Arabidopsis thaliana: one gene and its partners. The protein of the gene in region 1 interacts with the protein of each later gene in a biochemical or structural test. Each region holds a gene or a part of one and is shown on either strand. Other genes may lie near its edges.

The links.
Region 2: of the proteins of AGL50 (region 1) and MPK7, one has a biochemical effect on the other in vitro, tested with the Arabidopsis thaliana proteins (one large-scale study listed by BioGRID).
Region 3: of the proteins of AGL50 (region 1) and MPK2, one has a biochemical effect on the other in vitro, tested with the Arabidopsis thaliana proteins (one large-scale study listed by BioGRID).
Region 4: of the proteins of AGL50 (region 1) and MPK1, one has a biochemical effect on the other in vitro, tested with the Arabidopsis thaliana proteins (one large-scale study listed by BioGRID).

What each region holds. Positions count from the first base shown.
Region 1 is NC_003070.9:22,004,703-22,011,442, reverse strand, and holds AGL50 (AGAMOUS-like 50), read right to left. Parts: upstream 2,937-6,740; 5' UTR 2,840-2,936; coding exon 1,988-2,839; downstream 1-1,987. Other genes in the region: AT1G59800 (Cullin family protein), read right to left, coding at 5,271-5,378, 5,471-5,674, 5,762-5,809, 5,896-6,081, 6,174-6,261, 6,346-6,479.
Region 2 is NC_003071.7:7,905,206-7,913,233, forward strand, and holds MPK7 (MAP kinase 7), read right to left. Parts: upstream 4,836-8,028; 5' UTR 4,512-4,835; intron 4,177-4,511; 5' UTR 4,170-4,176; coding exon 3,747-4,169; intron 3,657-3,746; coding exon 2,973-3,656; 3' UTR 2,569-2,972; downstream 1-2,568. Other genes in the region: AT2G18180 (Sec14p-like phosphatidylinositol transfer family protein), read right to left, coding at 5,849-5,974, 6,066-6,466, 6,563-6,623, 6,689-6,829, 6,938-7,037, 7,123-7,172, 7,254-7,355, 7,450-7,527 and 2 more. UniProt on the Arabidopsis thaliana protein: MKK3-MPK7 module acts as a positive regulator of PR1 gene expression.
Region 3 is NC_003070.9:21,880,071-21,887,949, reverse strand, and holds MPK2 (mitogen-activated protein kinase homolog 2), read right to left. Parts: upstream 3,933-7,879; 5' UTR 3,743-3,932; intron 3,441-3,742; 5' UTR 3,430-3,440; coding exon 3,007-3,429; intron 2,915-3,006; coding exon 2,207-2,914; 3' UTR 1,899-2,206; downstream 1-1,898. Other genes in the region: ZCF37, read right to left, coding at 1-90; ZCF61 (E3 Ubiquitin ligase family protein), read right to left, coding at 4,318-4,420, 4,523-4,601, 4,709-4,752, 4,839-4,970, 5,057-5,169, 5,245-5,310, 5,399-5,539, 5,616-5,711 and 3 more; AT1G59550 (UBX domain-containing protein), read left to right, coding at 7,162-7,544, 7,687-7,825.
Region 4 is NC_003070.9:3,345,457-3,352,990, reverse strand, and holds MPK1 (mitogen-activated protein kinase 1), read right to left. Parts: upstream 3,910-7,534; 5' UTR 3,673-3,909; exon of another isoform or gene 3,427-3,672; 5' UTR 3,413-3,426; coding exon 2,990-3,412; intron 2,905-2,989; coding exon 2,215-2,904; 3' UTR 1,811-2,214; downstream 1-1,810. Other genes in the region: AT1G10220 (ZCF37), read right to left, coding at 176-832; WLIM1 (GATA type zinc finger transcription factor family protein), read left to right, coding at 5,228-5,362, 5,554-5,650, 5,750-5,793, 5,881-5,970, 6,108-6,314; AT1G10190 (NEP-interacting protein, putative (DUF239)), read left to right, coding at 7,400-7,534.

The DNA of each region.
Region 1 (6,740 bases):
AAAGGAGCAGCCTTCTCTTCCGTTTCAATGGCTTTGTTCGTCTTTGGAAAGTCGCTCCCGAATTTGGCTTGAAATTAAAATTAAAATTAAATGTTTTTGAAAATTTTGCATTTTTTCCGATACGTATTTTCTCTTTCGGGTTATTACCGAAAACACTTTTTTTTTTTTTTTTAATCCGCGTTGATGCAAGAAATGGCAGGAAAAAAAAAATCCGCGTTGAAGAAATTGCCACGCGCAATTAGGCCGCGTGATCGTCAGATACAGACTTCAGACCTTTTTGTTGCTAGTAAACTTATTAATTTATGGAATATTATGAATTCTTTAAAAATTAATAAATTTACTCTAGAGAGTAAACAATACATTTAATTTCTTATTGGTTCTCAAAAACCGCCATGCTGGACTTGTTCGTTGGCTGTGTAAAACACCGTCGTTTCAACGGTCTTCGTTGTTGTGACATGGGCATCAATATTTTTCTAAGTTTAATTGGCTGGTTCCTTTGAATTATGTTGGTGAACGACGGATGTGCACAATTCCGAAGATCGTGGAATGAACATTATATTATAAAAAAAAAATTGTTGACAAAATACCAAATAACAAAAAAAACTAAAGCTGCATTAATTAAATATACACTAACTTAGATCTTTCTTGTCTTTAAATCGGTAAACAATTAATTTTTCTTCTTGTCAAAATTTTAAAACATTGTTCAATCTAGAAGAAAACTTTTACTAAGAGACAACAAATAAGAGGTTGACCAGAAATAATAACAGCTATCAGTTGAATAATGACACGATCAGAAATAATTTAATGTGGTGACATTATTTGATTTGCAGTTTCATTTTTCTTCCCAGCTCCAAACGTCAAAACTGATATATACGCCAAGTAATTAGTTTTCGCTCATTTATCTTCATGGATATGCTTGTAAGTTTGATCGTGAACTTTGATTTCTTGTACAACGTTGTTCAGTGAGATTTTGATTCACTCAACTATTCATGGTTAAGCAGGAGACTTGTGTTTTAGGCAATTGTGTACGTCATTTGGAATTCCGAAGTTTTGGGAGCTCCTGAATCAAGAATCTGAATATTCGCAGAGAGTTGGATGAGCAAGTTACTGAGATACAACGTCACATACTCACATATAAGAATGTTAGAGTCTTTGTTGAAATATATTGCCAAAGTTTGGACATAGTTCGGACCTTAAAGATGAGAGAAGATGAACTGAATCCAAGCTGAACTTTCTCATTAGAAACTAGTAAATATGTGATTGATGTATGTATGTGACCACAGCCAGGAATTTCAGAATCCTCTGTTTCCACCAAACAAAAGGTATGATCCTGTAACCTTTCTTGAAATTTCACTTTCACTAGTGTCTAGTCTAGAACAAAAGAGCTAAAACAAGAATAAGATTCTTTCTGTTTAGAATCACCAGACAAGAACAATTTCGCAGGTTGGAAGGTATTACTTGCTTATCTCAATGAGGATTCTTTTGGTTACTTTCATATCCGACATGTTTAACCCCTGAAGAATGTATGACATAGTGATTGTTTTCTTTCTTTAAAGTTGGTAAGGAAGATTAACTCAACTATTAATCATAATCACATTTCTGAAGTCAAGAACGCTAGCTTGCAAGCTCACTGATAGAAAGTTGCGCTCATCGTCATTGTAGATGATTTGGTGTCTTACGAAAAAACTCTTTTTAACTCTCATATTCCTTTCTCACATGCAGAGACTCCAAGGTACAAGGGTTTTAGCTTTTGGAACTTTGCGGTGTGCTTTGTGGACAAATTTCTTATACTACTATCAAGCCCAGCATTTAAGTAACAGAAAGAAAGGAAAAGTTTGATTAATCAATAATAAACAAGAAAACACTACCAAAACTTTACAAAAATAGATTTGTGTTGGAGCAAACATACAAGTTTAGATACTAAAAAATGATCAATCACCGAGAAAAGGTGAAAGAAACATGTTTCACTAACGTAGTCATCAAGTTATCAAATTGAAATCATATCGGTGCTCATCGTTTGGCAAGTATTGGTGGTCATGAGAGGATCGCTAAAAGTATGAAGTAGTGGTAGTCTTGAGGCAAACTCCAGATCCCAAACATGATCATCACAAAAATTCCCTAGATTGTAAGTTTGGTAAAGTTCTGCTGCCGCCTCCTGAAGATAATCACCGCCTAAAGTTACAAGATGATCCAGTCCCGTGTTATCTGCATCTTTTGATTCGTACTTGGAAACATTCTCGTTCAAATTCCTTGACCCGCGGACCACGTAAGCCAACTCGTCAAATACATCACACGAACCCAGCTTCTTATCTGAAACCCTAATTAGATGATCTTCCGACAATATATCCTTCAAATGAGGCTCTATCTTCAACTTGTGATCGGAGATGGCCGAGTTCTCTGAAACCCTAGCACCATCTTTTTCGGAAGAACCCGTGAGCGTCTTCTTAAGAATTTCTATCTTTTGTTCCCTGACTCCAAGTAATTGAGAGTCAAGGTGAAGGAGATGCTTCCTTAACTCCTCACGAGACAAACCCTTGAGATGATGAGGGAAGTCATTGAGATCACATGCATGATTCTTCCTCCTCTCATCACTCAAGGCATTGAACTTGGCAACGATCTCATGTAGGGCTTGTGGGTTATGATCTTGAGACTGAGGCCAAACATGAAGATCGCTGTCGGGACCGTAACAGATGAAACCGACAGAGTTGCCGCAGAGAACAGAGAGCTCAGAGGCTTTCTTCTTAAAGCCTGGAAATCTCTGTTTGAAAAAGCTCTGTTTCTTCCTACGCAAATCATCATCATCATCAGACTTGTTAGGTTTCTTCTGACGAGGAGCCATCTTTTGAGAGAGAGAGAGAAGACGAAACTTTGATCAAATCGTGAGAGAGGAAAAAAAGCAGAGACCTTTCGATCGTAATGGGAAGTGCAACGAGAAGGCTATGATGACTCTTTAATATATAGAGACTTAGAAGATTAGGTTTCCTCAATCCCACAGGCCACCACAACGGTCATAATTTGGTGAAACACGCGTAAAAAATCATATCTAATATGCGCGTCCGAAATCTTGTGAGGTCTTTTAATTAGATCTCGTAGTGATATTTTCCTTTTTTAGCTCGATCCTATTTTCTATTTTTTCCTCAATATTTTCCAACAAAATATTTTATAAACGATGCAGTCTTAAGGTGATTTCTATTTTTCTTATGATTGCTAACGTTATAACCGGTTAATGGGATAAATGGAATTGGTTTTGTCAATTTTGTTATTTGGCTTAAGTCAATTATTTTTATTTAGATACATATTTGCTTTAGAAAGTAATAATATTTACACATAGTCCCAAAAAATGGACAACACAAAGCAGAACATAAACACAACTGGTCAGATACGATACCCTAATTAACTCACAACTCATGTAATTGGTAAAAATCTAAGAGACAATCGATCTTCCCAATTTTTCAATGAAAACACTGCTTTCAGAGATAAAATCCCACAAACCGTCCAACGTAGTCCCCAAAAGATTGGATAATTACCCAACTGATCAAAATTCGCTTAAACCCCAATTGAGAGACGATCTTCCAAATTCTTCAATCCAACACAAATTTGAGTCCAACACCTTGGAGGCTTGAACTTCAAGCAATCCTTATTTACTCTTGTTATTTATCCTGAGGTAAGCATTTCGAAAACTGTAAAGATCAAAATTTTAATTAAGCTTCTGAGTCAAAAAATTTATGTTTATACAGCTGCTTGAATAATACATATGAGGATGAAGAATTAGCCATCATGGACTGATTTGGGAGTAGTAACATAAAAATTTATTAGTTTATGCAAATATGTGTCTCTCATTTGCTTGTTCAGTTGTTTGATATCATTTCTGTTTAAACACAACATTGTCTCAGTAAGTGTTTTAAATACTCTATTTTAAGTTAAGATTGAATAAGTTGATCCGAGTGTGAAAAAGAGCATGTTTAAGAAAATGTGAACATTTGGTAAACACATGATGCTGAGCCACAACATAGATACCATAAAATTGTTCATGTACTTTAATTACTTTGATCGATAAAACTAAGAATGTTTTAGACATACAACAAAAGAGGATCTCTCAATTCTTTGCACAACACTTGTGCATATGTCACAATCTGTAAATAAATTATCATGAACAAAAAAGAGAAGAAATCTATGGAACAAGAATCATCAATGTAATGATCATTGGATAGATATTCCACATTTACCATTATTTCTTGACAGTTTCAACACACTCAACTGCAAAAAACAATCCAACTGCAAAAAACTTCACCATTTGGGCTCTCTAGTGACTCTAAAGACTAGAACATGCTTTGTCACATACTAAATAACATTATTTCTGAGATATTGATTGGCTGGAGTTGAAATACTAAAATCGTTTTGGTTGATATCTTTTATATAAAGCATCTAATTAGTGAAGGGTTTGAGAATTATGTAGACAAAATTGTTTGTGTTTAATTTGATGCAATATCACTTTAAGCTTTGATTGGTCTTGTTTTTTCATAGTTTTAGGCTCAGTTATAGCTGTTAGCTATTTGGTACTTTCTGAAGTCGGGTTGTTGTTTTCCTCTGTCAATTAGCATGCAGTCCCAAACCAGTCAACAAAAGCTAAATCACCCTCCAATGAACAAAATTCCTGGTGAAATATTTTGTCAAAGTCGCTATTGATTACCAAAGTTTGTCTTGTTATACCCTCTTATTCAGAAACATATATATTTCGTTTTGCTAAAAACTTTTGTTTTGCAATCAAAGAAGCAATTATACGTCAGTTACTAAACCGATGAATGTTTTTTTAGGACGCCCCATATTAATCTGAAAACCTTATTAACCTTTTAGCCTAATCGATTTGGAAGGAAAATACAAAAGCTAATCTTAGTTTAACTTGAAAACGAGTATGCATGAAATGATAGTGATTGTATAAAAATGATTTTATTTTAAATTGCCAAATTTTTAGCGACACTAGCAAGATAATTATTATTGACCCAAATTTTCAAACTTCAATGCTAAGCTTCTCACTTGCTTTACTTAAGTATATCTTTATCACTTAAGCTTCTTACTTCCTCCACCCCTCTTTAAGATTTGAAATGCCTCTTTCAATACCTGCAATGCGTCAATAGAAAAAAATGATCACTCAATATATAATATTGTGGAAAAAAATAAAAAGCCAATAACTATTACATATCCTCAAAATGCTACCAGATATAACCATGTCACTAAGTTCAAACGCTAAAATCTCCCGTAGAAAAATATGATTAATTCCAAATAATGATACCATAACGAACCTCAAATAGTTTGGGTTCAGTGGTTGGATGAAGGTAGTGAGTGACTCTCTCCCTCTCCCTTTGTAAACACTGTTGAGGCTGCAACATAAAATTACTAACATGTATTAACAAACATACTTTCTTGAAATCGAATTGAAAAACAGTTCCAAAAGTGATATCTAGAGATATGCCTTTAGCGTGTAATCAAGACAAGACTCCTCTTGGATCCACCTTGATGCCTTGCTAGAATAGTAAGAAGCAGTATCTTGAAGCATGAGCCTTTCAAAATCCTCTTCATATTTTTTTAGAGTTCCCATCCCATTCTCAACAAAGACATCTATTACGTTTCTCACAAGTTCTCTATCAATTTGTTCACCCTCACGTTCTTTATGAATCTGGCAATACAAATATTGTTTCGAGAGGAAAAAAAAGATCAGGCAGAACAAGAGATTTTTTTTATCAATACAGATAACATTACTTACAAGTGCTAATATAGCTTCTGCGGCCATGGACTGCATTTCACGATAAACCTAAAGTACGTAGTTACAGACCGTTAGAAAATACTTTCGAAGCAGAGAAAAATTAGAACCTATATATAGGTATATGCATGTCAAACCTGGTCGCGGAAGCAATTCAAGCCAACTTCCCTCAGTGATGGAAGGCCTTTTTTAGAAAGAAAGGAATCGTCTAAATAGACCAACCTTCTGCTAAATAATCTAACCAAAAGTTTATGGGCATTCCACCTCTTAGCAAGCTCTCGTAGCATACATTCATCATGCTTTTCCCTTAAAGATGGCAACACCTTAACCACAGATAAAAAAAAGAAATTATATTAACTCTTTTTTTGTTTTATGTCAAAAAAAAAATGTGTCTTCTTCACACATTGGTACTCACCGTTTGGATTGCATAATTCTCAATTAATTCACGATACTTATCATAAAGCTGTTGAGGGTTCTTGTAGGCGCATATACGGTAAGTAGCCCTGTGAATCACACAAGAAATAGTTGTGGTAATTACAAACATTATATAATAAGACTCCAAACATTACATAAGACGACCTACGCACGTATGCATCATCATCATAATTTCCTGATTAAATGCTGGTTCAGACTCTCCTTCTATCATTCTTATCAGCTTGGTAAAACCTTGTTGTATGTTGGACCATTCTACCTCAAATTTAATCTCTGTGGGTGCCACCATCTTTCTTAAATCAAATTCTGTAATAAAGTAGTAGACACGAGAAATTAAAATATATTTGTTTATTTTTATCAAGGGAAGCAATTAAGATAACTACATTAGAATTTAGCTCTTGAGAGGTAATTATCAATACTGATCTATTTTTAAAACTAAAACTAATTAGGCTACAAATCATAGGAGAACCTAAGACATCTCGTACTTGAAGATTCCGAACAGTATGAATATAATTTCACCTTATCCGATTAGCTTAGAAGATTTGCCAGT
Region 2 (8,028 bases), on another chromosome or scaffold:
TATTTGTAATAAACAATAAATCTATATGTTAAAAAAAATATATTGAACTTTTTAACAAATTGATTACATTTATTAAAGAAATTTGATGAATATATAAGAATTATAAATTGGTATACACATTTAAAAAAGAAAAATAGTATATTGACTAAATTTTATGACCTGAACATGAGCCAAATATAGAAACTAGGGGTTGGAGTTGGAGTTTTCAAGCATATATTTATTGATGTGGCCACAAATTAATGTTGCCTTCAAACTCAGCAGCACATTGCTCAAAAATGAGTTTACTGTTCTAACCAGGTGGGCTAGATTTCCTTGTTTTTTTTTTTATGTCGTTGATTTCATTTTGTCTATTTTTTTTGTATAAGATATATATTTTCTAAGCTCATGGGCCACAAAATTTGAGTTGTGCTTGGGGCCCTCTTAAAGTTTAGGTCAGCCCTATATCTTCTCAATCCATTCGTTTTTTTTCTTTTTAGTGTATGCTGTGTTTTTTTCCTTTTTGTTGGCTTCTCAATTTATTTTTCTTTTTTGAATTGTATTCAATTTTTTCACCTAAAAGACAAATTTGTAAGAATATTTTTATCATTTATTTATTAGAATTGAGATAAGGGGAATTAGCAAATATAACCAACAAAAATATTTTAATTGATAAACTAACACTTCGAACAATAGAAAGAGATATTATGTATAATATATGTAATATTGACAATACTATCTTCTGTTTGTACATCACGCTCTCCTTCTTCTTTCTTCTTCAAAAGACATCCTATTGAATAAATCTTCTTCTCTTTTATCAAGTGTGCTCATTTCATCTCTCTCTCCCTTCTCTTACTGTGTTTGTACATCTCGCTCTCCTTCTTCTTTCTTCTTCAAAAGACATCCTAGTGAATAAATTTTCTTCTCTTTTATGAAGTGTGCTTCTTTCATCTCTCTCTCCCTTTTCTTACGAATCTTTACATACATCACCATCAACTGAACAAAAGTCAAAATTATATATGGATCAATCTTAAATGTCGATAGGATCACTCAAATCTGATTTACTCTATTTTATAACAACACCATTAGCGCAATAATACTCTGACTATATTTATTCTTCGTCAGCCAGAGAATACTAGAAAAATCCGGGGAAATCTTTTCGCCAATTATGTCAAATTAATCTTCACTTTCCCATCAAAGTTCATATGAGAATTTTAATTTGTAAATCCATGGAAAATAAAATTGAGAATTATGAATAACAAATTGACAATCATGTTATGGATTTCTTAGATCTAGAAGCGATAAAGGGTTTACGATGTTGGAAATTCTAAAGGGAAATAGCCAATAAATCGATTTTGATTTTGGAAGATTTTTGAGAGATACTTTTCTATTTTGTGAATATACTATTTACGTATACATTGTACTATATACGTTTTAAAACGAATTGTTTGTTTTGATTAAGGATGTTAAGTGATTTAATCATTATTTTAGATTAAAACCCTTGGGTTCCCTATATATTATCTTAGGGTTTAGTATCCTTCCATCAAAAAATATTTAATTGATTATTTGGATTCATCGGAATCAAAGTTTTGGTTTGAACAAATATATACTCCCTCTGTTCCTTTTTGTTTGATTTTTTAGAAAAAACACAAATATTAATAAAACATATTAAATGTTGCTTTTAAATGTATTGTTCTTTGGGATTTACAATTTTCAATAACTCTAAACCAATTATATTCAATAATTTGTATTGAAGTTTACAATTTCTCAATTATAACTAATAACTATTGCATTGAAAACCTAAAAAATCAATCTTTTAGAAACAATTTTTTTTTCTAAAAAATCAAACAAAAAGGAACATAGGGAGTACTATTCTATTTTTCTATGATGATATGTATAGAATTTGGTATCACTATTCATTTTTTAAGAAATTCGTATCCGATTTTTAAAATTCAAATCATATTAGATACACAAAAAAAATCTGTTTTTTTAATAGTATTATTAATTTAACCAATTAATATTGTTAACATAATATAGTAAACAATATTAAAAAGGGTGAACATATTTTAATCATATTTCTCTTTTCTCTTCTCAACATAACTTAAACTTTTATTGTTCCTTAAAAGACCACGTCAGCATAATTCACTACACTTCTGTTTTCTTCACGCGCCTTAAACATGAATGAAAGAGTTGGGTGAAGGAGTGTGTGGTGAAAGAGTGTGTTGTCATTACACACACCTCATGTGTTACTCTCTGAATTCGGCAACTTATGGTGCTAGATATTTAATTTCTTTTCAGGAATTGGTTATTTAGCTAATTCACCTTTGAAATAAATACACTTATAAAATAAAGTATTTTTAAAACACACTAGTCTTCATATTGGAACTGAAAAAAATAGCACACTTCCTTAGATCATTATTTATAAGATTACTAATATATTCTGAAATTGTTTTGGTAGTACTAAAAAGAACGAAAAATATGAAGTGACACATTATCCAATCTTCCCTTATAATGAATTGAAAACATGTTTGGCGGCTTTTTAAAGGTAGGATAAAAACTAGAGAAAATAACATCTATACTTTTATTAGTTTATACTTTATAGTATGAGAGTATCTAAACTATAAAAAATTATTTCGTGTGGCTAGCAAGTGGGCAATGGCAAAGCTATACAAAATACAAGAGTTGGCCTGAAAATCAGTAGTAAAACTCATCAACTCAAAGATAATGTAACAAAAACAAGCCTTAACTTACTTAGTAACAAACAGTCACATTTACAAAGTGGTAAAGATACTGAGAGCCACTTTTCAAACTCTGTTACTACTACTCACTCACTGCAACTAAATCAAACCAGACGAGATCAAAGCACCGGGCTTTTTATCGATCTGTTCCCGCGTTTGTGGACTCGCTATATATAACATAACATCAAAGCTGCATTTTAGAAAGCAAAAAAAAAAAAAACTGGAAAAAGCTTACTCTTAATGATCATTGATGTTGATTTAGGCATTTGAGATTTCAGCTTCAGGGTGGTAATAAAGCATCTCATTCCACATCATCTCTCTTATCACTGGTTCCTCCATGTTTTCATCTATGTCCAGAGAGATTGGGACATGTGCAGGCGGATTGGATCCAGGATCAAACAACCCCGCCATATACGGGTGTAAGAGCGCATCGGTTACAGAGATTCTCTTGGTTGGATCAAACACAAGCATCCTCTGTAACAAATCTATAGCTAGAGGATTGGCTTGTGGATAAAGATTGGAGAGATGAGTTCCTCTTGAGTACGGAAGAGACTTTATAAACCTTCGAGCTTTCGGGTTGTCTATGAACCGAATATCAGATTCTTGTTGGCTACCAACAACGTTGATGATTAGCTTAAGCTGATTCAAGCATTCTGTTCCTGGAAAAATCGGTTTCCTACCAAGAATCTCCGCGAATATGCAACCAACCGACCATACATCAATGGAGGTTCCATAGTTATCACAACAAAGAAGAAGCTCAGGTGCTCTGTACCAACGTGTAACCACATACTCAGTCATGAACTGTTCATTACCTTGGCTCGTTCTCGCCAACCCGAAATCACAAATCTTGAGATCGCAGTTCGCATTAACTAAGAGGTTCCCGGGCTTCAAATCCCGGTGAAGTATGTTTGCAGAATGAAGATACTTCAACCCTCTAAGCAACTAAACACAACAACAAGAACAAGACTTATTTCAATAACTAAACATACAAAACTCGAAACATAGAGTTACCGAGGAAGGACTTAAAGTTACCTGAAACAAGAAGTACTTGCAGTGATCATCAGAAAGAGACTGAGAGGATTTAATAATCTGATGAAGATCAGTATCCATTAGCTCATAAACCAAATAAACATCCTTGAAACTGGATCTATTAGCAGGCAACATAACATCTTTAAGCGCGATCACATTCTCATGCCTCACATGCCTAAGAAGTTTAAGTTCCCTCAACGTTCTCAAAGCATCAACACGATTCTCAAACACATTGTGAATCTTTTTAATAGCAACTCTCTCATTAGTCTCACGATTGATAGAAGAACAAACCACACCATAAGCTCCTCTTCCAATGGGTTTAATCGGAACATACTTTGTATCGATTTCGAACAATGTTTGCCACATGGAGTAGTAATGTTTCCCTTGTTGCTTAATCCCATTTGGTGGCTCAACTAACATCGCCATTTTCTCTCTGCAAAAACCAAAACTTTCAGTATTTTTCCCCTAAATTGGTAAGATTTTGGAAAAGGGTTTATAGAGAATTTTCGATTTATGAATCATTGAAGCTTTTTTCTCCTTTACGTCTCCAAAAAGTGAAATTCAACTAAGAAAAATTCTCTTTTTAATATCGTTTCCTTTACTTAGCTATCAATCTTACTACTCCATAAGAAAAAAGCAAACTTTGGTTATAAAAATTCTCTTTTTAATATGATAACTCTTGATTAATCATAATCAAAACTCAAAAATTAAGAGTTAAAACAAGCTAAATGAATAAAGAGAAGAAACAGAACAAGAGATCGAACATACCCAATAACTGAATTTACAGAACCCGAGTCGTTGTTGTTGTTGTTAATGATCAGAGATGAAAGAAGAGAAGGGTATGATTGGATCTGAATTGAGATTGCTTCTTCATAGCTAAAACAAGAAGAGATAAGAGAGAGAAGAGTTAGGAAGTGGTGAGACCCATACGGGGAATGGAATGTTAGGGGAAGAGGAAGAAGAAGAAGAAGAAAGGAAGCAAAATACGTTGGTTGATGAAGAAGCTTTGGTTACTTCTTTTCGTTTTTTAGGAAAAAAACAAATTACAAAGTCTTCTAATTACGAAAACGACATTCTTTTTAGATTAGATATTTTTTGTGTAACAAAACTTCAGTTACAAACTATCTTTAATTAAAAAATCTCTAAAGTTTAATGGACTCTTCATGTTTTTTTTTTGCATACAAATCAGGATTGTTATTACTATATTTGGTAATTAGAAAAAAATAATGCATAGGAATTTTTGTAATTAATTAAAAAGATTGAGTAAGATATTTATTAAGTAGAATTTGTCTTGGTATAATATACGTACACGAATACAGAAATTGAGGATTTAAATGGATCAAGTAACCGGCTAAGCACGTGGGTGGACTGAAAAAGTGACACGTGGTAAACGTAGATTGGGAGCAACTTCTTGTTGTTGTCCGAACCGAAGTTTCCACTGGGTGTAGTTAAACCTAACTTAAAAGCCTCAAAAAGTGGTCAACTACAAAACCACTCTTGGTTTGAAGACCTTCTGTCTCTTTCGGAGAGGTTTGAGGATTAGATTAAAAAAAGGATAAGTGTGGCTGATGGATTTAACATCAGATGATGACATAACTAATTTGAGTGGCAAATGGTTGAGTAAACCTATCAGTTGACGAACGCAGATTATCAATCAACTTTGAGTTTCTCCATAGATCTTCGAAGATTCTGTCTCTCCAAACCATCAAGCCCCAATTCATCTTCAACCCTAGTAATTTAGTTTATATAAAGTGTACTTGAATTTTATACGTTGATGTTAAAAATGTTTGCACACTAATCTTTTGTACAAAACTACTTTACAAAATATATTTCTTATAAATTCATTGTTTTCTTTTGTACAAATCAAACATGATCTCGCATATGATGCGGATAAGTGGTAACATCTAAGGATGATATATATATACAGAGACATAACAAAATTCTTTCTTTGGAGATTCTCTTAATTTTAATGTGACTGTAAGATTTAAGTTAATGACATGAGTGCATTGGCCACCTCTAACTCCACTAGAGGCTTCTTCTTCCTCATGTTCCTCACTTACCAAGTGAACTGCACATGGAGATAAAAAGTAAAACAGAACACCATTTTAAACACCAAAACAAAAATTAGTTAAGTAGGCATTGATTTGAAAGCGGACCAGCTTCTTCTTCTTCTTCTTTCTCTCAACGTATGCCACAAGGTCCTCTTGTCGGGTAAGAGAATCATCAAGAGCCTGTGAAGATACAACAACTCTTTAGTGTGAGATAGTGAAAGCTGAGAACAAATCAGTAATATATATGAAAGTTTTTTTTGTTTTGTGTTACCTTCTTGGTTGCAGCAAGTTCTTGTTCCAAGAAATCGGCTCGGCTAATGGCAGCATTAAGCATCTCTTCCTTTTCAGGAGGCATAGTTGCTGGCTGTGCACTCAAGTTTGTGACTTTCTGCTCAAGCTCAGCCATTCGTTTCATGACCGCCATGAAATCTTCCCCTGAGATGGTTGTTGTTGCCATTTTCTTCCCATGCATCGAGCTCTTGTTCATCGAGTTTTCGTCGCAGTAAACCGGGCTAGAGTATATAGTTGACTCGGTTAGCTTCCTTGGAACGTTTTTAGTCACTCTAATCATGGTGACTACACCCATTACAAAAGCCATGACTCCAGTGAAAATAGGAGACCTTCCACTTTCATTTGTAGCTTTGCAAGCTTCTTGAATGGCGTAAACATCCCCTGTTCAAAAACAGAGAAGTACTTAAATTCAAGTTCTTTTAAAAAGGAGTAGTATTTGTCTCTTTAGTAGTGTAATTTGCACATGATCTCTTATACTTTTTGAGAGGGAAAATTTGTGAGCTTCTGGTATGTTCCAAGCTGGATGAGCAACCACGACCTGAGATGTGGGAAGAAATATAAGGAGAATACAAGCCTCATGAAGGAAAATAGTGTCATTCTTACATTTTGACAAGGAGAGGGCTGTGACTGGTCAGTTTCAGGAGCTTCCTCAACTGCAGAGTTATTCCCCTGAGAGATAATATTCTCTCCAGCATTATCAGCTTGAGATCTCTTTGAGCATATGTGGTCACCATTATTAACTCTCTGTTAGGTTTACGGTGACAATCATCTTAGTTTTCATATAGAAAGAAAGAAACTAACTATGAGTGTTGTTGTTGCTTTACTAGATCAAAGAAGTTGTAGAAAACAAACCTTCATAATATCTGGATTGTTCCATGGTCCTTTGTCCGAGCGCATGCAACCCCCATTGTCAGCACAAGTACAAGAACCTCCCAAGAACTCAGGCAGCTCACTGATACAAAGAAAAATGAGAAGTCTGTCATTCGAGAAATACTAATCTTTTGAGTGTTCATGCAGAAACTTTTTGCAGAGCTCACCTAGCATCAATTATTTCAAGCAACTTGCTTTGGTACTTGTTGCCAAGAACCTGAATATCAAATTAGCTAAGTAGTAAGAATATCTCTCATTTATATCAGTCAAGAGTGATAAAAAGGGTTTGTATACTTGCATGGATCTTTGCTGTAGTCTTTGGGTCAAGGAAAGACTTAACCGTGTTCCACAACATCCTGAATCCTGAGCCAGCATTGATGATAAACATCCTGTTCAAGGTCTGAGCCAATGACAGATAAATGAAAAAAAAAAGTTGAGAGAGCAAGAATCATTCATAAAAGATAAACCAATGATGATAATAATATAAAGTGCACCTCTGGATAGTTGTCACCATCGACCTTTTGAAGACGCGTAATCAAATCCCTTGCTGCCTTGTTGAAGTTTTTCAGCCCCTTTTATCATATATACACCATTTTTGGTCATTATTGGCTATTATAGTTTCTACAAATGACCATTCAGTTATGTACGTACCACTCCTTGGACATCAAGAATTGTTGTACTTTGATCAATGTGCTTCTTTGCCGCGATGGAGCATGCTGGGAACTTAACATTGAAAGTCCTCTCAAACTCCATCACATGGTAGTTCACATATCTATCCATGGTTGTGACTTGCATCAACTTGGTAGAGTCTACTTGACCTAGCCTCTCAATGTACACCGGTCTTCCTTCCTTGTCGACTCCATGGTGTCCTTGAGGGTAGTATTTCAACACTTCATCAATTTCCTTAAATTCAAAATCCTAAGAGATACAAAGAAAAAAAAAAGAGTAAGAACATTGTTTTCAACCACAATGCACCTTCTTGCATTCATAAAGAAACTCTATGAATTCACACCTCCATAACTGTGTCAGCACCAAACTCCTTCCTCCATCGGAGCATGTCAGACCACATTTGA
Region 3 (7,879 bases), 120 kb from region 1:
TTTATCAAGTCCACGATTTGAATAAGGGTTCTTGCTTGCTTTTCTTGATTTTTTGGGTGAAGAACATGGAGATCTAAATGGGCTCACCATTTTTACTTCGAGTGATGATCTTGTGGTTTCTTTACCTTGCAATGTTCTTGTGAGATTCAGAGAGTTTCAAGTTTTTTTTTTTGGTTTTGGTTAATGAAGATTTGTTTTGGAGACAAGAGTGACGACCTTGTTATTAATAGACGTGATTTGTATTAATATTTTAAAAGATTTCACGCGACAATAATATTTTCTTTATTGTAATACTATAGAAAAAGGATTTAAGAATTTGACCGGATCAGATGATGAAGCGTTACAACTTGGTCAAAATGTCAAGATCTCAGAATTTTGTATTTAATATTTTGTTTTTTTTTTTGTTTTTGTGTGGGTGATTATAAGAAGTTTCCAGGAATAAAAGAACATCATCGATCACGTATGTTGATAACGTTGGTCTTATTGATTGACTTCCTTGGGGCATAAGCTAAAAAAGAAGTCTATCTTTCATAAATTTCCACGACGGATGTATTATTTTAAACTATATTTAGTAATTTTATAACCAAAAGCTAGTTGGAGTTTTCCAAGTATTTATGATTTAATGTATAGATATTGATGTTTTTGGCAATTTATTTGATGTGTGCATGGCAACTAATTTGATGTGTATGTGTGTGTATTATAGGAAGGGCATTTAGAAATATACAGGTTTGTAAACAGAAATTACCATCGGGTAAAGCAAGTTATAATATTTTTGCAAATTATATTTTTGTTTATAAAAGTGTTTTCCCTGAATTTAGTAATAATCATTATTTAATCACGAGTTAGGTTCGTTAACTTAGCTCGAAAGCTTGATACCATTGTTCACATAATGTTGGTGGCTTTATTAGTTAAGTTTTCTGTATTATTATGTATGCACATGTCACATGTGACACAATTAAGTGTTGTTTTGCTCGATACTACGTGTTTTATATAATATTTTCGGTTTGCCACTCTGTGTTTAGACTTTAGAGATAATTTTATAAACTATACATCATTTCATGAGACATCCCCTGTATCCTAAAGGAGAAGATGGAAAGATAAAAAGGAAAATTAAATACCAAGCAAGTGGTGTGTCTTGTGGCAGATTTTGGTCCCTCCAAAGGAGATTGAACATTGCATCCTAGTTCTATCATTTGATCATAAGTTTTGGATAAAATAGAGGATTTACAAGTATAAACTGCTTCATCATCATATGCTTATTAGTTTAATCAAATTATAGACTTAATAGTCCAACCGCAATTTCATATGGATAACTAAAACGAATTTTTGGCGGAATGGTATAGAAATGACTCAATGACATCAAACGCATAAATCAAAGAGATGATGATGAGGAACATTCATTGACTATTAATCGACGAGAAGACTTGACTTGGTCTTCTAGAATCTTTATCTCTTTGGCTCTTGATTTTTTTTTCACATCAATGGTTTCAATAATTAGTGCAGTCCTACATTTTTCCATTTACAAAAGTAAAAAAAGATTCTTATTCACACGCTGTTCATCAAAATATTTTTCCAAAGCATAAATGTTACTAATTATTGACATTTTTTCTATCATTTAAGTTAAATTTAAGTGTGTGATAGACATCAAAATATTTTTATCAAACAAAGCAATTAATACTTCTATTAATGTCACAATATACTAAGTCTGAATTCAGAATTAGGTACATGAAAGTCAAAAACACATTTATAAAAATTCTACGAATCTATGGAACATTCTATGTATCATTGAAAATTATTTCCCAAATAATTTTATTTTGATATTCTATGCATATGTTTTATTTCATGAATTTTTTTAAACAGTGTATATCTTTGTGTTAATACATTTATCTTCAAAATCATATTTAATCCAATGGTTTGCTCTTTGAACATTCGAAAATCTTCAATAAGAAAAATCACCAACAATAAGATCAGAGACAGAGTATGAAGTTTTAAGGACACATACACTTATGTACAAACGTTACAGACACTTAAGCTTGTAACCAAAAACAAAACAAAGCTCCATGACACAAACATATCACATAATTTAAAGTTATTGTTCTTCTTCTTCGACACTATTATTAACAACATTTCAAGAAGCAAACATGAAAATAAATAAGTTTAAGTTGTTGAAAGATCTCTCTGAACAGTACCTGCAAAAGACTTGATCTCAAAACTCAGAGACCTCATTGTTGTTTATGGTAGCAGCTTCTGGATGATAATGAATCATTTCCTTCCACATTAATTCTCTTATCATCTCTGCTCCCAAATCCTCGTCTTCATCTACATCGAGATCAATAGGAACTTGAGCAGGAGGATTTGCACTCGGGTCATATAAAGGCGCCATGTAAGGATGTTGAAGCGCTTCCGTGACACTAATCCTTTTCGAAGGGTCAAGAACGAGCATTTTCTGAAGCAGATCAATGGCTAAAACATTTGCACCCGGGTAAAGACGAGAGAATGATATCCCTGGTGAGTAAGGGAGTGATTCTATGTATCTTTTGGCTTTTGGGTTATCTATAAACTCGAGATCTTCCTCTCTCTGGCTACCCAAAATGTTAATGATGAGTTTAATCTGGTTTAGACATTCTGTTCCCGGGAATACTGGTTTTCTTCCAAGAAGCTCGGCGAATATGCAACCGACTGACCAGACATCAATGGAGGTTCCATAGTTGTCACAACAGAGGAGTAGCTCTGGTGCTCGGTACCATCTAGTCACAACATATTCAGTCATGAACTGACCTTTGGTGTTGCTCGTCCTCGCTAGCCCAAAGTCACATATCTTTAAGTCGCAGTTTGCATTCACAAGGAGGTTACCGGGTTTCAGATCCCGATGGAGAATGTTTGCTGAATGAATATACTTGAGCCCTCGAAGCAACTATGCAAAAGAAATAAAAAGCAAGTAAATGCAAACACCAAATGCAAACAACACACACTAATGGTAAAAGCAAATGCAAACAAATCACATACCTGGAACAAGAAGTATTGGCAATGGTCATTACTTAGAACTTGAGAAGACTTAATAATCTGATGAAGATCAGTATCCATAAGCTCATAAACAAGATAAACATCCTTAAAGCTTCTCTTATGATTAGCCATCATTACATCTTTAAGAGCAACCACATTCTCATGTCGAAGATGACGTAGAAGCTTGAGCTCCCTAAGAGTCCTCAACGCATCAATCCTATTCTCAAACACATTGTGGATCTTCTTGATCGCCACTCTCTCATTACTCTCTCTGTTAACCGAAGAGCAAACCACACCGTACGCGCCTCGGCCTATCGGTTTGATAGGCACGTATTTGGTATCGATCTCGAAAAGTGTTTGCCACATTGAGAAGTAATGCTTCCCTTGATTCCTAATTCCATTAGGTGGATCAACAGGAGTCGCCATTCTTCTACCTCCTTATAAAAACACACAACAAAAGGAATAAAAATCAAAACTTTATCGAAATTGGAACAATCCACAAATTTGAAAATATACACAACACAGAATTTTGAATTGCTTCCAACAAGTGACAATGAAAGATCAAATTTTTAGTTTTGATCTTAGGGTTCTCTAAGCTTAAGTTTACAGATTCAAAGGTTAATATTTTAGATTTCACTAATGATCAAAAGCTTTGTTTAAGAGAAAAGAACAAAAGTTGAATCTTGATCCGATGTTGAGATTGAGCTAGAACGATCTGAATTTTGCAGAGAGAGCTTACCCGTTGAGTGTTGGGGACGAATCAGATTCGTCAGTGACGATCGCCGGCGAGATTTGGGTGGAGAGAAAGAGGAAGTTGGAGAGATTTGGCTGGTGAGAGTGAGAGATTTGGTCAACGCTATGACCGTTGACTCTCTAGTTTCTCGTTCATTACCATTTTAGAGCTGTTTCTTTCTCTGTCTCCTTCACTAATCTGTCTTTAACTTTGGGCTTAATTAAGCCCAACCTGATTTGTAATAATTAACGGTAATTAGATATTTAAGATAGTGAGGAATTAACAAAAAGTGGACGTGCCGGAGTGGTTATCGGGCATGACTAGAAATCATGTGGGCTTTGCCCGCGCAGGTTCGAATCCTGCCGTTCACGTTTTTTCACTTCTTATTTTAACATCGAAACGTGATTATATAACTTCATTAGTAAATGTAAATCTAAGCTTGAAATTTATATTAGCATTTGTTCAATCACAATCTATCAATGCAAAAAAATTTCTAGTCAAAAACTCATGATACAAAGGCTTTACTATATGTACAAGACTAGTAATTGTTCGCTTGTAAAAATCGTTCTGAGTTTTGTCCTTCAATGGCGGTAAATTTTCAAAACTTGTTGTATTCGTTCCCGGCAAAGAGGACAGGTCCTTAGTTGCAAGGAGCATGGTGTGCAGCAGCACATATGACCACACCTACAAGTCCAAACCAAACAAAAAGAGGAATCAAAAGATGCCATGTTTGATCAGTGAGAGGGTTTTCAAGAGCTTTTAGAAGAAAAGCGGTCTTATACTTACTCAACAAAAGCGGTGTTATACTTCTGGTCAAGGCAAACCACACAGAGATCAGGTGTATCACCATCTCTGCTTGTACCACCTGGTAAGACGTTTTTGTAAGCAGAGCAATTCCAAGTGTATGCAGAAAAAGGATTCACATGTTACTACTACAAAGTACAAACTCTAATGGATAGATACTATTACTACCTCCAGTTACTGGTTTGGCTCTCCTAGCAGCTGCATCAACAACTCTGCAACAAGTTACCCAACACTTAACTCGCAACTCGCAACTCGCAATGAATACTTCATACGTGGCTGTGGTTAGGGTGCGTCATACCTTTTCAGTGCGAATTGTCGCCGCCTTCTTTCTAGAGTATCTTCAATTCTCTTTAGAATATATTCAATCACAGGCTTTGAAATAAGAATCACACCAAGAACAGTTAAACCCATGGAGGCATACTTGAACCTCCTGCCAAAAGAAAGAGATCTTTTAGAATTTTTTTCAATCATAGTTTTCGAAGAAAAGAATAGGCAAAAACAGAGAAAAGAAACAACCTTGACAAATCTCCCAATTTAGAGATGAGCTGATCTAGCGGTATATAAGTGACGTAGAAAGGTCCTTGCTCAGGTTTTTGAATCCTGACATTCCCCATGCCATCCCTAACAGCCTGTTAACATGGTAAGCAACATAACAAAGAGAGATATAAAACGTATTTTGGACCGCTAACAGATAAAAGACATACCTCACCAACAACTGTAAGCGGTGTACCAATTGGGACAACACGCTCAACGTGTCTTACTCCAAGTATCTATAGACAACAATGGTGCCACAATGTATAAGCATTGTCAAAACAAAAGCAAATCAATGAAAAGTGGTAGGAAAGGAAAAGAAAAGACCTTAAAGCCTTTAAGATAACCCAACGCTCCTTGAACAAGCGATACCGGCTCTGCCTTTTCAAATACATCACTACCAACCGTCAACGCCAAGCCTAATTCACCTTGAGATACATCTACATTCACACGACCTGTCCCGTCGTCCTATAGGCAACCAATATCATATTTTGTAAATGACTTTAGAAAGTAATACACTCCAATCAAAGTCCAACAGACATACCAGATACCAGGGGACTTCCTTAGTCATCGGCTGCATCAATGTACTATTTCGAACCCATGAAAATCTCCAATTACGTCTCAAAACCTGTTGTTCTGCCTGAAAAAAATCGTTTCTTTTTAACATATCCAAAATCACAGAAACGAAAAACTAGATTATCTAATCCAATTCATACATACCGTTCTCTTGAGAAATACACCGAGAACATAACTATGCTCACACTTAATAGGAGTCTCAGAGCCAACATCTCCTGATACTGCGATGATCAAAGGTACCACCTTGCTCTCTACTTCTACTAATTGTTCTGAATAAAAACGAATGATATCAAACACATAACCAAAACCCATCCACCTAAAATTGAAATGCAGAACAATGCAGGAACATTACCCAAATCCTTGAGTTGGTAAACCCTAGTGATTGATTTGATATCTCTGTCCCACGAAAGAAGAACATTACCACCGAATAACAGTAAACCCTAGTTATCGTAATTCGTAAATAGTAAAGACAAGAAAAAAAACCTAACCTGCCTGTGCTCCTGGTAAGAAGATAAAGAGCGACGCCGCCTAAGCAACATGTAAATCCAGCCAAATGTATCATCTTCTTCCACTGTACACACTGATTCCTTCACGAGATCACTATTTGTCGGCCACTTTACTTCTTTCGCCGAGAAACCAGAAACCGATCAAAATTTTCAGGCAGAGAGAGAAAGTGAAGTCGAATAGGGATGAATTTTTTAATTAATTCTTTTTTGCTAAATATGAAAAAACTAATTAATGCAGAAATATTGTTTGACCAATACTATTTTGATTGTTAAAAGGGTTTTCTAAAGGAATTAGGGCTTGATTGGTTCTCCCCCTCTGCTACCAATAGTAATTGATTTGAGAAAGTCATTTAACTTTAAGATTTCTTTCAATAACATTTTTCCTTTTAAAAAACTAATTAATCAAAAGAAAAGAAATTAATTAATCAAAATGAATGTTTCACAAATTTAATCAAGAAGATATTCAAGTTAATATATCCTAGGATTTTTTGCAAATTAACAAATTTAAAACAAATAATACTCATATTTAACATTTTTTAGAAAACCCCATTAATAATTACTTCTACTAATTAATATTTAATCAACAACAATAAAAATTTATATTTTTTGTTAAATAACAAATAATACATTCTAATATAATATGGAAACCGAATAAAAACCTACGCTTGCCGTGTACCGCGGGATGAATCCTAATATTTATCAATATGTAACTAAAAAAAATTCCAATTGTAAAAAGTTTAGCGTGATTTAAAAAAAAGTTCATTGAATTATTTTATAGGCATAGACCGATAAAGTTTAAGTAAAAAACGATAAAGTTATTATAAACAAAACAAAAAAGTGATAAGGAAATTTCCGATTTTTTCTCGAACCAAATTGGAGTGAAAAAAGGAAGAAAAACAATACTATCAAGTTCTCTATATAAACAAAGAAATAGAAGCAAAGACGTACAAAACAAAAGATTAAAACTCATACAAATTTGTTCTCTCTTTCTCTTTGAACGGCAAAACAATGGAGAGTAACTATCAGAGAACACTGGTCTCAGCTTTCCTCAATATCTCTGTAGATCAAACTGTGGAAACCGCTATAAAGTGTCTAAAGTCTACAAATTGGAAGCTTGAAGATGCCATCAATCTCTTATTTGCCATCGACAGAATGAGAAATAATCAAACTTTGACACTAAAACCTTCCGACTCTACTAGATTGCCTTCCTTGTCTCCTCCTCCTCCTCTAAATCTGCTTTTTAATGGTTCGTTCGAAGACGCGAAACTAGCTTCTTCTAGCAAAGATCTATGGTTGCTTGTTCATATCCAATCCGAAACTGAGTTTCCTTGTAATACATTTAACCGAGATTTATGGTCAAACGAAGACGTTTCTCAAGCCCTTGAGTTTAGGTTTATGTTATGGCAAGTTTATGATCATACCAGTGAAGGAAGAAAAATCACTAGCTTCTATATGATCCAACACTGTGCTCCTCCTATGCTGCTCCTTAGTCCTTATCGATCCGATTACTGGCCAGAATATATGTATATGGAGGGGCGAGATTAAAGCTAAGGGTTTTCTTAAGGATTTGAAGAAGTATATTGATGCTAGTCCTCACGAACATATTGCTTCTACGGCAAGGAACATGCGCGTAAAAGCAGAAAAGATTTGCCACTCTGATCAACAAGACATGGTTGGTTTTACGGACGATGATTTTGACGATTTTGATGAGGCAGCTGATGAAAAG
Region 4 (7,534 bases), about 19 Mb from region 1:
ACATTTCACTAGCATTAGAGAAAGGAGAAACAAAGAAGAAGAATTTACGTATCTTTCTGTCTCAAAATTAACAACTATGGACAAAACAGAGAAGACAGAACAAAAGAAACCAAGGAAAATGTTAGATGAAACGAATAAAAGAAATTCACAAAAAAAGAAAAAGTTTTGATTTTCGTCACCGGGTTTCACTTTTATCAGGAGCAGCTCTGTTTTCAATATTTAGTTTCTTCCTCCTCTTCGTCTCGTATGTTGATCCTCTGTTTCTGCTCTGTTCCTTGATCATTGGAACCAAGTACCAAACGATACAAGTGCACATGATCGAGACGGTCCGTCCGAAAAACACCAATAATATTAGAACCAGCACCACTGTCACGGGTAATAAATGGTTTGGTCTTGAAATCTTCTTCAGATTCTCATTCAATACACAGCTCTGTTTCTGCTCTGTTTCCAAATCTGTTTGCTTTATTTCTTTTTCCTGCTCTGTTTTTGATTCGGTCTTTACATTGAAATCATCTAGAACATCCTTATTCTTGACCTTGAAATCATCTAGAACGTCCTTCTTCTTGACCTTGAAATCATCTAGAACATCCTTCTTCTGACTTGCCCTCTTTGTCTTGATCATTACAGGGACGCACTCGCCGGAGCTAGTGAAGACAAACCGAACAAGAGGCGGTCCATCAGGATCAAGCCTCTTTGCGTAAATGCTCTGTCTTTTCTCATCGAGCTCAGATAGAAGTGCAGAGAACTTGTCAAGTCCTTGATTTGAATAAGGATTCTTGCTTTCTTTGTTTCCTCTTCTCGATCTCCTAGGTGACGAAAACGGACTCAACATATCAAATCAATTCAGTCCAATCAACAATATCCTCTTTTTTTTTTTTCTGTTACTGGTCCTTTGTGTGGAGAGGTTGTGAGAATTTGAGAGCTTGAAGGAATTTGGTTACGGAGGAGTTGTTAGGCAGGATTTAGTATTTGGACAAGAGAGACGGCTTTATTGTTATCATAATGAGACTTGTCTTAAACTAATTGTAAATATTTCAGATACACAAATGGATTGGTGATTTGACCAGATCTCATTAAATGTGATGAATTGATCAGATCACGTATTGTTGACACTTTTTTTGTTCTCTTTTAGGACGAATAGAAGATAAGTTTCTACCAAATGAAACGTCATCCCAGATGTATTTTGCTGATCTTACAAATTGACTTTCTTGCGGAAGAAGCTGCAAAAAAATTTCCATGATGGTGTAATCATATTTTTTTGGTTTATCATAAGTAATTGACTAATTGTTAATTTAACTTAGTTTTGACTTGGGGAGAAAGAAAGACAAAAGTGATTCAACCATAAACATATAGTTGGAATATTCATTGTTAATTTAAATTTCTGATGGGTTTACAAAAATTGGAAAATCCTCCAAGTTATTTATATACTATGAAAAGAAAAATGAATTATGAGAAGGAAAGTTGGTGTAGAAGAAAAAGCTTTTAGCCTTTAAGGCTTTTTAACCAATAGAAGCAACATATCATGTGTTGACAAAAAAATGAAGCATATCATGTGATAAATGAATGAGGAGGGTACTGATACTACTCACCAAAATTATCTTATAGAACTTCATTAAGAAATTGAAAGAAAAACAATACATTGTTTTTGTTACGATTTGGAAAGTTAGGTTCGGTGCAAAGGCCTACCCCTTCTATGAATCCGAAGGCCTATGATCATGGTGTGATCATCAAATATTCATATAACAAAATGCTTAATTGTTGATATTCTTAGATTTAAGCTATATGAGAACAACTATATGAAAACTTGATTCATCAAAAGGCTTGGATTGCATGAGAGGGTTAAAAGTTCTGCAAGAACGCAACAAACAAACAGAGAAACAGAAACACAGCTCTCTCTATGAACATATGTTACAGACACACATCAAGCTTGTAATTAAAAAAAAAACACAGCTCTTTCTATGTACATATGTTACAGACACACATCAAACTTGTAATTAAAAAAAAAAAACAGCTCTCTCTATGTACATATGTTACAGACACACATCAAGCTTGTAATTAAATAAAACAGAGCTTCCATGGCATCACTATTCGCTTAAACTATAAGTTAGTCTTCATCTTATTTTTCAAGACTATATACACTATGAGTCTATGATGACAATCAGACATAAGAAGAAGAAGTTTTCTGTAAATTACCCGTACAAACAAGACTTGAGCTCAGAGCTCAGTGTTTAAGGTTGAAGCTTGTGGATGGTAGTGAAGCATCTCATTCCACATCATTTCTCTTATCATCTCCTCTCTCAAATCCTCATCTACATCGAGATCGATAGGAACTTGAGCAGGAGGGTTTGCATTCGGGTCATATAGAGGCGCCATGTATGGATGCTGGAGTGCTTCAGAGACACTAATCCTCTTTGACGGATCAAAAACAAGCATTTTCTGCAGAAGGTCGATGGCCAAAACATGAGCGCCCGGGTAAAGTCTGGATAAAGACATCCCAGGTGAGTACGGAAGTGATCTAATGTATCTTTTAGCTTTCGGGTTATCTATGAACTCAAGATCTTCTTCTCTTTGGCTTCCGAGAATGTTGACAATGAGCTTCAGCTGGTTAAGACATTCCGTTCCTTGGAATATCGGTTTCCTACCAAGAAGCTCGGCGAAAATGCAACCAACAGACCAAACATCAATGGATGTTCCATAGTTGTCACAACAGAGGAGAAGCTCTGGGGCTCGGTACCAACGAGTCACAACATATTCAGTCATGAACTGACCCTTGGTGTTGCTCGCACGCGCTAGTCCAAAATCGCATATCTTTAAATCGCAGTTTGCGTTGACAAGAAGGTTACCAGGTTTCAAATCTCGGTGCAGGATATTGGCTGAATGAATATACTTGAGCCCTCGAAGCAACTACACAAAAAGAACAAAGCAAAGCAAAATTTCAGGAGAAAGCAAAGCTAGAACCAACAGTAAATGAACGGGATCAACCACACACCTGGAACAAGAAGTATTGGCAATGATCGTTACTAAGAACTTGAGAAGACTTGATAATCTGGTGGAGATCAGTGTCCATGAGCTCATAAACAAGATAAACATCCTTGAAGCTCATCTTATGAATTGGCATCATGACATCTTTCAAAGCAATGACATTCTCATGTCGAAGATGGCGTAGAAGCTTGAGCTCCCGAAGAGTCCTCAACGCATCGATCCTATTCTCATAAACATTGTGAATCTTCTTGATAGCAACTTTCTCGTTGGTGTCACTGTTAACAGAGGAGCAGACAACACCGTAAGCTCCACGACCAATAGGCTTGATAGGCATGTACTTAGTGTCGATCTCGAACAGAGTTTGCCACATTGAGAAGTAATGCTTCCCTTCATTCCTTATCCCATTAGGAGGATCAACCAAAGTCGCCATTTTTTGTTTTCCCTCTTCATCACAATTCACACACAATCAAGAAATCAAATTTACACACACAATTAACAAATTATTATACTAACTATTTATCAAAACTTTTCAAGTGATAAGTTACTGTAGATTTCTTGTGTAAACAGATTGGTCTGTTAATAATAGTGAAAAGGAAAAAGATCAAACTTTATCGATTTGGTGAAGGAACATAAACGATCGGAATCAATGGGAAAAAAGTTTACGGGATAAAGCGGGAAGGAAATTCTAACCGGTGATAAGTGACCAACGACGTTCCCCGGAGGTTAGATTTGGCCGGAGAGAGAAACCTGTGGAAGTGAGAGAGATTTGGCCAACGCTCGGACAGTTGACCTGCTACTTGTTCGTTACTAGGTAGTCTTTCCTTATATAATTTGGGCTTAAGTTGAGCCCAATTAATATTGGCAAACAGATTCACGTCTCTATCTTCTAAAATCAATTTCGGTATTTTTTAGTAACTGATCACCAAAGTAGCATCATTTGTGAATATGTGTTCTACGAAGATTTATAAAAATTGAAAATGAAGAAAAGTATTTTAAAGTAAAATATATCATAAATGTAAACAATGACACATGACTAAAATATTGCATCACCAATTCACCATCTTCTTTTGCTTTAACTTTACGTTTCCATCACACATCTTTTCATTTTGCTAAAATTAGCATCTAGAGGAAAATAAACTACAAAAGATTTAAAAGTTTTCATTAAGTCAGATTATTAATATAAGAGAGGAGGCCCATGCAGACAGAAAGGGAAAGCCCATAAATCTAAGCAGTGGCAAAAATGTTAGAAACTGTATAAAATGATACTAATAAATTGGTTGGAGTCTATTATAGTAGCAAATAAAAATAACGTTAGGTATTTTTGATTAAATAAAAGATGTTAGGTATCATTATGATCACTCATTCTCTTCAACCAATTATGTCAATACTACAGCTCATCAAAAGCCTTTATGGTAAAGCATGTTTCAGATATTTTCATTATTCATATACACACTACACAACATATAGTATTAAAGAAAATAAATAGTGTATAGATATTTAGAGATTTCCAACTAATTCAACATAACCAATACAGCTTTTAATCATTATCTAAAACCAGACAAAGATTCTTTCCAGTTGGTTTTCCCTGTTCTATTTCCTTACAAACAGTTATTGACTATTGAGCATTGCCTTCACTGTTGAGAAAAATTTGTGTAAATCTTACGCACTGTCAAGCAACTGCATGCATTCTCTAAATAATTACCTGACTCTAGATATAAAAGAACTGAATTAATGTAAAAAAAATATAAGCAAAATATCTAGGAGACAGATATTGACGGGTTACTTCAAGTTTGGACAAAAATAATTAAGAACACAAAAAATGCCGTTGAAACCTTTTCTTTTTGTAGTACAGTTTTTAGTTTTGTTGCTAACGTTCAAATTATTTATTTATTCATCGCTTATCTTGTTTTGTGGATTAGACAACCACGAAAAACAATGCTAGGGTTGTCAGAAACACCAAATATTCGAATTTGCATCCAAAATTCGATACTCATCTTGAACTTTTTTGTTTGTGACATTTTATTAAAAATTTCAATTTTTCCTAAAAGAATTTTACTTTAAATATTTAAAAAGAAGAAGCATGTTCATTTTTCAATATATCTGGTCCCCATATTAAAACAAGCAACAATAATTGACAATCTCTTTCTTTCATCTTCATCTTATTCTTCTTTATCTCTCTCTCTCTCTCAAGACTATTGAGCTTCTTTCTTTTTTCCTGAGTCTTTTAGTCTGATCTCTTACAAGAATGGCGTTCGCAGGAACAACCCAGAAATGCATGGCATGTGACAAAACAGTTTATCTTGTCGACAAGTTAACCGCCGATAACCGGGTCTACCACAAAGCTTGTTTCCGATGTCACCATTGCAAAGGAACTCTCAAGGTTTGATCTTTGATTCTAGTTTGTGATGATTTCTCATTAATCCAGAAGTAGATCTAGTAGATATATATGTAGATGAAGAAGTCCAATCAATTAAGTAGAAATCTTTGAATTTTTGGCTATGGAAACTGATTGGTCTAAAGATTTGACTGTTCTGTTTCTTCTTCTTCTTCTTCTTCTTCTTGATGAGTCAGCTTAGCAATTACAACTCCTTTGAAGGAGTTCTCTACTGCAGACCACATTTCGATCAAAACTTCAAGAGAACTGGAAGTCTTGAGAAAAGCTTCGAAGGTAAATTACCAAAAACAGATCAAAATGTGAAAAGCTTTGTGAGTGGGGATTTCAAATTTGGAATTATCTATCTAAAGTTTGATTCATATATATGTACAGGGACACCAAAGATTGGGAAACCTGATAGGCCTTTGGAGGGAGAGGTACTTTCGGACAGCAGAACAAAACCCTTTTTCTGTTTTTGAGGTTCTTGAATTTTTTTAACATTTAACATGAGAGAAGTTTAACAGAGACCTGCTGGAACCAAAGTTTCGAATATGTTTGGTGGAACACGAGAGAAATGCGTTGGTTGCGACAAAACCGTGTATCCAATTGAGAAGGTATCCAATCTCAAATCTTTCCTGATCAGAATCAAGTTGTGTCAAAGAAGATTGTTAGATTGTTTCCATAACGAATCTGATCTGTTCTTGGCTTAAACCAGAGCTGAAACATTGCTTATAATGTGGACTTTGTGTAGGTATCGGTGAATGGAACATTGTACCACAAGAGCTGCTTCAAGTGTACACATGGAGGCTGCACGATAAGCCCTTCGAATTACATAGCTCACGAGGGTAAGCTATATTGCAAGCATCATCATATTCAGCTGATCAAGGAGAAAGGAAACTTGAGCCAGCTCGAAGGAGGAGGAGAGAATGCCGCCAAGGACAAAGTCGTCGCTGCTTAAAGAAACAATTCAATCTCTCTGGGATGATTTTGACTATCGAAGAATCAAAAGAGTCACTACTTCTCCATCGATCGATAACATATATTGGTTTTGTTTCTTCCTACGTTTGTGTTTTTCTTTTTGGTCTTTAATATGTTTTTTTTTTTTTGGGACCTTTGTTCACTCTTTTATTGGGTTTCTTGAAATGAAACTAGAGAAACAAAGAAATAATGGATGTTTGCTTATGAGATATATATGTATTACGTTCATATGATATAAATTAATTTTCGTGAAGTTTAAGCTTCAGCTAAATGATCGATTCAATTGCTACCATCGTTGATTCAGGTTATTGATAATTTGTTACTCTTGGCAGAGAGGATGATGAAGTCGCGTGAAGATAGAGGATGGAGATGTAAACATATTGGGCTAATTCCTTACAAATGTTAACATAGATTAAAAACATAAAATAAAACAAACAAATAAGGGTAACAAACCGAAACAAGAGAGACAACCCATAACATTAATAGGCCCAACGACCAAACCCATGAGTCCCAACTCGGAGGAGACCAATCGACGAAAACCCCTACACAAGAGGCGCACTAACACAGAAAACAACCCTTTGCCGAAACTCAATCGGAGAAGGCTAACAAAAATTTTGCAAAGTACTTCGTGAACTTGAATTTGTAAAAACAAAACATATTGATTCATGGATTTTTTGTTTTAATGTTATTGTCTTCAAGGAAAAATCGGGAAAATAATGGCTACTATAGATATAATACAATGATATGAAATTAATTACAAGTAGAAAGTAGACATACTTATTAGCCCTATTGTAAATCTACCAAAATGATTTAAATCAATGGTATTATGTGTTAATTCATAATATTAACAGATTTTTATCTCAGGAATTGTTGAACAAACACTAATTACTTTTGGTCAATGCTAATTGATTAATCTACCATAAAACTCTTTCCCCAAAAATTTTGGTCAATGGTCTTGAATTAATTGAAAAATGTTTTGTTCCTCCTCCAGCCTTATATATTAAAGGGTTATCTTCCATGCTTCAAAATCAATAACTCTCTCGTCTCTCTCTATTGTTGATTCAAATGGAAGTGATATGGATGTTCTTAATGTGTTGCATCTTTGGTAACATAATTATAAATCATAACAATGACTTTGTTGAAGCTAAGAGCCTTTCTAAAGTTGAAGATTTAGAAATCGAGAAGAGACTAAGGACTATC